2 linked regions of the Ovis aries genome follow. The protein of the gene in region 1 interacts with the protein of each later gene in a biochemical or structural test. Links are inferred from orthologs where the notes say so. Each region holds a gene or a part of one and is shown on either strand. Other genes may lie near its edges.

What was found.
Region 2: the proteins of LRP2 (region 1) and clusterin form a complex in vitro, tested with the Homo sapiens proteins (3 studies listed by BioGRID). The link is inferred for Ovis aries from reciprocal best matches to the Homo sapiens genes LRP2 and CLU.

Annotation. Positions count from the first base shown.
Region 1 is NC_056055.1:140,214,734-140,218,549, forward strand, and holds part of LRP2 (low-density lipoprotein receptor-related protein 2), read left to right. Parts: intron 1-677; coding exon 678-964; intron 965-1,916; coding exon 1,917-2,120; intron 2,121-2,695; coding exon 2,696-2,935; intron 2,936-3,816. UniProt on the Homo sapiens protein: Multiligand endocytic receptor. Acts together with CUBN to mediate endocytosis of high-density lipoproteins. Mediates receptor-mediated uptake of polybasic drugs such as aprotinin, aminoglycosides and polymyxin B.
Region 2 is NC_056055.1:102,027,532-102,031,347, forward strand, and holds part of clusterin, read right to left. Parts: 5' UTR 3,591-3,816; intron 2,496-3,590; 5' UTR 2,458-2,495; coding exon 2,379-2,457; intron 1,101-2,378; coding exon 952-1,100; intron 1-951.

The sequences.
Region 1 (3,816 bases):
TTCACAATATTTTCTTTATAAACTTCTGTCAGCTCTAATTTTTGCATATAACTCCCCAATCACTTCTGAAATTACACATATTCCCATCATCCTAATGATTGAAGATATGAGATGATTTTGTTTATTATGGCTGTTATCTGCATGTTGGGAATCTTAAACTTTCCTTGCTTATTTTCTTATGATTTTGGTCTCATGATGCTGAGCACCTAAGAATTTTATTTTCTCACTTGAAATAAAGCAGGGATGTTTTGTGTCAAAATTAGGAAGATATCTCAAAGTTAATGACAAATGGAAAAACTTATTAAGCGGGTGGGAAGGGAAAAGTAATTCACGTTTTATTGAGTGACTACTATGTGCCAGACACCAAGACAGGTATTATTTCCAAGCAAGAGGTGTATTATTTCACAATACTCCCCACTGTTCTTTTCTTTTTCCTGTTTCATTTAGTAGGATTACTTGTGGATTATATTAATATTTGGATATAATTTATATAGGCCATTGTTTAATAAGGAGATGAAGTTCTCCCATTACCAGAAGAAACATTTCTTGCTGCCATACGGTCCACTTGAAAGGAAAGTTGGAGGCTTGTGTAATTGCGCTGAGGCATTGGGTGCCAGTTGAGGACCTTAATCCTTCTGGAGTCTAATATTTTTTTTCTTTTTCCATCTTCATTTTAGGGAGAAGATTGAGCGCATGGATCTAGAGCGCTATCTGCGGGAGGTCATTGTCAGCAGAGCCAACAGTCCTTTTGGCTTGGCTCTTTATGGCCAGTATATTTACTGGACTGACATGCTCACTCAGAAAATTTATCGAGCTAACAAAGTTGATGGGTCAGATCAGACTGCAGTGACCATGACCCTTCCCTTTCGGCCTAAGGGTATTTGTGCTGTTGTGAAGGGCCAACAACAATGTCAAAGTCCTTGTGATCGGTTTAATGGGGGCTGTAGCCATATTTGTGCACCAGGTAAATACTTTGGCCACCTCTTGCAAAGAGTTGACTCATTGGAAAAGACCCTGATGCTGGGAGGGATTGGGGGCAGGAGGAGAAGGAGACGACAGAGGATGAAATGGCTGGATGGCATCACTGACTGGATGCACATGAGTTTGGGTGAACTCTGGGAGTTGGTGATGGACAGGGAGGCCTGGCATGCTGCAATTCGTGGGGTTGCAAAGAGTCAGACACGACTGAGCAACTGAACTGAACTGAACCGAACCGAAGGCACTGGGCACAAAGATAGAATCATGGAGAGTGATAATAATGATGACCACTAGTAAGGAAGGCTGAGGGAATATTCAGCTCCAGCACGAACAAAGATTCTCTTTGTTTTCAGAGGAATTTCTAAAATAGATTTCAGGGTTTGTATGTTGAGAAGAAGACTGAAGGTTTTTTTTTTTCTTTCCTATTCCATATGGAGCCTTCTTACAATGACATTTTTAAATTAAGCTTGATGGAGGTAGAAAGAAATATGCAGGTTTGGCTGCTGCATATCATGTCTTGAATAGAAATTTCATCAATGAACTAATGTTCCTCATTAAAGGATTTAATACTTTCACTTAGGAGGTACTATTTATGGTTGAATAAACAGAGTGTGCTTCAGAAGTGTGTTTTATAGAGAACAATAAATTCATAAGAGGATGTGCCTTTTGAGACTATTGCTGTGCAGATTTTGCTGAGAATCACTGTTAATGTTTCAGTGAAGATAAGAAATAGTGGTTTAAAGATTAGGGTGAATTAGCCACATTCATTAGAAATTGGTGGTTGTTCACATTGATGAAAACATAACATAGAGCAGAGTTTCCATGTTTTAGAGTGTGTTTAGTAATATAGAAGCTGTTGCCAGTGCTCTTCAGGGGGAGAAAATATCAGTGTTTGCTACAGAAATATTTTGCTTTTTTCTGGGCTTACCTTTCTTCAGGTCCAAATGGCCCTGAGTGCCAGTGTCCGCATGAGGGCCGCTGGTACCTGGCCAACAACAATAAGTACTGCATCCAGGATAACGGTACCCGGTGTGACAGTTCCAAGTTCACCTGCCTCAGTGGGAAGTGCATCCCTGACCAGCTGCAATGTAATGACATCGATGACTGCGGTGACAGCAGTGATGAGCTGGAAACTCTCTGCGGTGAGCTGGACTCTTGGAACTTTTGAAGTTCATGGTGTACCTTGTGGTTGTTCCTTTTACAAGCGAAGAACATGTACCCTGAGAATCTAGACTGCACTTTGCTTAAATCACGCAACAGCTGATATATGCGCTGTGAAGTAGTGTTCGATGCTTTATTAGGAAGCACCTCTGAAGTGCACCTAAGAAGGGGCAGAGATGCTGCATGCACGTCTGGGAAGCTCTGGGAAAATTACTTCACTTCTCTGAGCTTCAGTCCCATGAAAGCATTGTGTTTGCATGCTTTCATGAAGCTGAGATAAACTTATACATTGAGATGGTGGAGGAATGGAGTGACTTTGCCATTTGCATCAAATCCTCCATTTGCTTAAAAAAAAAGTATACAACATATTTGCTTAATTTAACTAATTTAAAGTTTGAGCTCACTTTGCATGCAGTACATGTGGCAGCTTTTGCCTCGGAAGGTCAACCCAAAGTGTCTTATTTTACTTGATTGTATCTTTTTAGAAAATGGGATGATGCTTTCATCTGCGAGCTTCTTCAATGTTGTTTTAAATATTTTGTTCCCCTCCTCTTAGCGTTTCACAGCTGCCCTTCGACAAGCTTCACCTGTGCCAATGGGCGATGTGTCCCATACAGTGATCGCTGTGATCACTACAATGACTGTGGCGACAACAGTGATGAGGCTGGCTGCCGTTTCAGGGCTTGTAACAAAACAGAATTTACTTGCAGTAACGGAAGGTGCATCCTTTCTGAATTAGTCTGCGACGGGATAGACAACTGCCACGATGGCAATGCTTCAGATGAGAAAAATTGCTGTAAGTTCATCTTACGTTCTTAATGGGCTTTGGAGCCTTGAACTCTCAGAGCCTGGGAGATGTAAAGACGATGCCTTTCTGATAAAAAAACTGACAGTATTTGTCTAAAACGTGCATTTCATTTTACATGCCTACTAGTGATTTTTAAAAATAATTCGACCTAATATTTGATTTATTCATACAATCTTTGACTACTTTCCCCTTCTATATTTTATCTTTGGTTTGTGTTTCTGATTATTGTGAAGCTTTACCAATGATTACTGACAAAATTAATTGATTAATGTGTGTGGTTAATGTTTGTTATGCACAAAGCTGTGTAGCACAGTGTTGACTGAAATGATTTGGTAAATTGCTTTTTAGTGAGTTGCTTTTCCCAGATTTCCGGAACTTACAGTTTAGCATCTTGAGAAAACAGTAGCACAGAGTATGAGCAAAAATGCATTTTCATTTCGGGTACATCGACATGCTCTTCTGTCTTTGTATGTGGTTATACACAATATTTATTTGGGTGTGGCAGTATTATTGCCTGGATAATCCTATAGACAGAGGAGCCTGGTGGGCTACAGTCCATGGGGTCACAAAGATCCAGACATGACTGGATGACATCCAGAGCATGCACCCATGCTTTTTTGTTGTTCTTTTTTTTAACAAGTGGTCAATATGTTTCATCCATGTCCTCCAACTTTTCCCCTGAGTATTTTAAAGCAACTTCCAGAAACACATGTCAATGATAAAGACATTTGTTTTCAAATTTAAAAAATGTTTTTAAAATTTTAATTGGAGGATGATCTGCTTTACAATGTTATGTTGGTTTCTGCCATACAACAAGGTAAATCAGCCGTAAGTATACATATACCCCTTCCTTGAGCCTCCCTCCCTTC
Region 2 (3,816 bases), about 38 Mb from region 1:
GTTATCAGGAAAAAAATTAATGGATTCCCTGGTCAATTGGATTTGGAAAGCACTTGGGCTGAATGAAGTCACATATGCTCCTTTACTGCAGAACTTCTCTGAGTCTTTATAATGATTTCACTCCATGCATTAGGGACCATAGGGCCCATTTCAGCATTTCTGTCATTGGGTTAGGGTAGCAACAGGAGTAGAATTTGAGGATATCTTCAAGGAGACTATTTATTTTTCAAATAAGCTGGGCTTCCCAGGTGGCACTAGTTGTAAAGAACCCGCCTGCCAATGCAGAAGACACTGAAGAGAAGCAGGTTCGATCCCTGGGTCAGAAAGATTCCCCTGGAGGAGGAAATGGCAACCCACTCCAGTATTCTTGCCTGGAAAATCCCAGGAACAGAGGGGCCTGGTAGGCTACAGTACATGGGGTCTCAAAGGGTTGGACACAACTGAAGCGACTTAGCACCGCACAAATAAGCTGTTTATTGAACAACAGTAGTTTAGTTTTGAGTGTTCACCAGCGGACCTAGATGTCTCTTCACAAAGTAGTCCAGAACTCAGATGTGAGCAATAGTGTGTACCTGCTGTACCCCAAAGGCATGACTCACACTAGATTAAGCTTCCTGAAGGAAGGGTGACATCCACCTCCTAACCTGTGACAATGACAGACCCTACCCAAAGCCGACCTTGGAGCTTGCACACAATCGGGGTTTAGAAAAATCTACTGAAATGAATCTGGGCAGCAGGCCCTAGGCCAGGCTTGAAACGAAACCAGATCCAAAATCTCACCCCTTGAAGCTTTCAAAAGCAAATAAACCTTCCCTATTTGTTAGCCCTGGATATCAGCTGACACAGCCGGGAAGGAAAGACAGAGGGTCACCATGGCAACCTGGCAGGGCTTCCCCATGCCCTCCCTCCAGCACAGAGGATCAAGGTGGGGGCAGCTCGGCTCTTCCTTACCTCTTTCTTCTTCTTGGCTTCCTCTAGGGAACTGAGCAGTAATTTGCGCTCTTCATTGGTTTGTTCTATTTGGGTCTTTATCTGTTTCACCTCCTTGAGGGCATTTTTAATTTCTTTATTCACGTACTTACTCCCCTCAGTGGACATTTCTGCAGGAAAAGGGCAGGCAGGTGGATGATGTGAGAGGAAGGGATGGTGCTGGGAATACAACCCTGGAACCAGTTTAAAGGGTCTGAAAGGCCAGGGGGTCTAGGGGCTGCCATGGCTGGGGTCTCCTTGGCAGGCAGCCTTCAGGGTCCCAACTTCACCCTGACCCGGGTTCCATGCCCGGTTCCATCTCCAGGGCACACCGAAGACCCAGGGCCTGAGAATCAATTACAGCCAGCTGCTCAGAAATGCGAACACTGGAGCAGACACACCCCAGAGGAGGAATAACCCAGTGTTCTCCTGGGACGCTGGAAGAGCAGCCTAACCAGCTGCAGAAGAAAATTTTCAAGGAAAAAAAAAATCCTGGAAGCGTAATTGTTTAAGCATCAAAATATAAAATAGTATCCTTTTGGATACAATTTCTTCTGGAATGCAGTTTAAGCAAACATCTGAATTTCATCTGTGTTCTGACGGATGGTATCAGGTGACAGGGACACGGAGGTGAGACGGTGATCAGACACCACATCGTGTGACAAATACAATGAGATAATGTCACCAAGGTACTGAAAGTAACAGCCCATGCTTCTCTGGTGCTTATCCTGGGCCAAGCACCACACTGGACGCTTCACATGCAATTTATTTAAGACTCTCAACATTGCCTTCACCCCACTGCACAAATGAGGATGAAGAATCATAGTGAGGTCAAGATACTCACCCAGGGTTATAACAGCTGGGGAGGGCAGAGACAGATTCCCACCCACCTCTGATCTCAGCATTAGGGTTTCTAACTACTACCCCGGAGAGCTGGTCAGCTCACAGGACGAGAGTGAAGCAGAGGGAAGACAGGTGTCAGGAAGGACCTAGCAGAAGAGGGGAAGCAAAAGCTGGGCTTTGAAGGATGACAAGCCCTCCTAGTAAATGATATTTCCTCTTTCCTGAATCCAGAGCATTGGTTTTCTAGGTGGCAAGGTGGCAGATACAGGTAGTGAGCTTTATGGAAACTCAAAGGGAAGTCCACAGAGGCCCCAGTGGTCCAGGCTTCAGGGAGCGTCATGGGGGAAGTGTGGGCGCTGGGCCAAGCAGCCTGGGAAGGGAACAGCTGAAGGAGACGCAGCAGTCAGAAAGGGCTTGGGTTCCACCTGAAAGTGCCTGGAAGACAACTTGACCACCAGGAGCCTGGGCTGGCGACAGAGGGCTCAGAGAGGGGCCTGAGCAGAGCAAACCAGATCCGATGAACAGGGCGGAAATGGTCTCTGACCCCTGGGGGCCTGGTCACTTACCCTGGAGCTCTTTGTCCGAGATTGCCCGGCCACTCTCCCAGCTGAGCAGCAGCCCCACCAAGAGCAGTAGAGTCTTCATCTTGCCTCCTTCTCCACTTCTGGAATCCCAGCACGCCTCTGTTTGTAGAGAACAGGGAACTGTCATGGCAACAGCTAGACAGCCCGCTGGTCTCCGGCCCAGCCTGCCGCCTGCTCTCCTGGAGCCCTGCTGAGGCCTGGCCCTCCGCTATGCCCTTACTTGCATTAACACCTTTTTATCCCAGGGACTGGACAGGAAAGGATCAGTCTTGCCAATGGGCACTTTCAAAAGAAAGTGGGAGGCAGCGGGTACCGGGAAGAACCGCAGGAAAGCAGCCTCATACAGACGAAACGAGGATCTGGAGTCAGAACCACCGGACTCAGGTCCAAGCTACCCTCCGCCTGTTCCTCCCCCTCCTCCTCCTCTTCTCATCATAGCTGACTGTGCCCGAAAAAGGCACAGGAACCATCTGCATCCAGAGAGGACATCCATCTGATGATACCTGCTCACACCAAATTCAACTCTGAACACACCTCTCCTGGGTCACTCATCCGGCCTATTCCATCCCCCTAACGTGGGGACTGCAGCCCAGAGTGCAGCCAGCTCCCTGCTGTTGACATCACCAAGCCTGCCCGCAGCAGGCATCACCAGTCGATCACAGCACTGTCCCCAGCCATGTCTCGACACCTCCTGAAAGTGCTTTTCGAGGGTCTGAGGCTGTTTTGAGGGCCTGAGGCACTGACAGCCTCAGACCCTCTGGGTTGGCACAGGAAAATAAATCCATTTGTCATCACCAGCGTGAGACTTGAGGCAGGAGGTGTGGATGAGAGTGGAGCAAGGCGAGGACAGTGGTCTCCAGGGAGCATAGCAAGGGAGGGGCAAAGCCAAAGGATTGGGGAGGGGGATGTGGCGTCGGCAGGGGCGAGGGCAAGGAGCCTCCCCAAAAGAAGTCCTGCTGGGAGGAGAGCCTCTCTGCTCTGCCAGGTCCCTTTCACTCAGCTGGTCTCTCTTAACACACCACAGCGCGTCTGCCAAGGTCCTTCCACCACACTCGGCTGGCTGCCTGAACCCTGGACCAGCTGGTCTTACACAATGGATCCTTTCCCCAAAGCTGAAGTTGTTGCAAAACAGAAACCCCTCCCCCCGCATCCCTCCCGCTGCACCCCTCCCCGCAACTTATCATCTGAACTCACCCGCTTCCCCTAACAAGAACGGGAAGGGGCTCTCCCCTTCCTGGAATGACGCTCACTCCAAAGCTGCTCTCAGCTCCGTAGGCTGAGACCCTGGGAGAACATGAATAAGGCAAGTCTCTTCTGAGATGCAATTAGTAACGCAGCTGGGCTGTGGTCCCTGAGCAGCGTGGGAGAGGAGAGCGGGTCATTGACCTCTCCAGAGATGGTGGGTGGGCGGCTGAGCCAG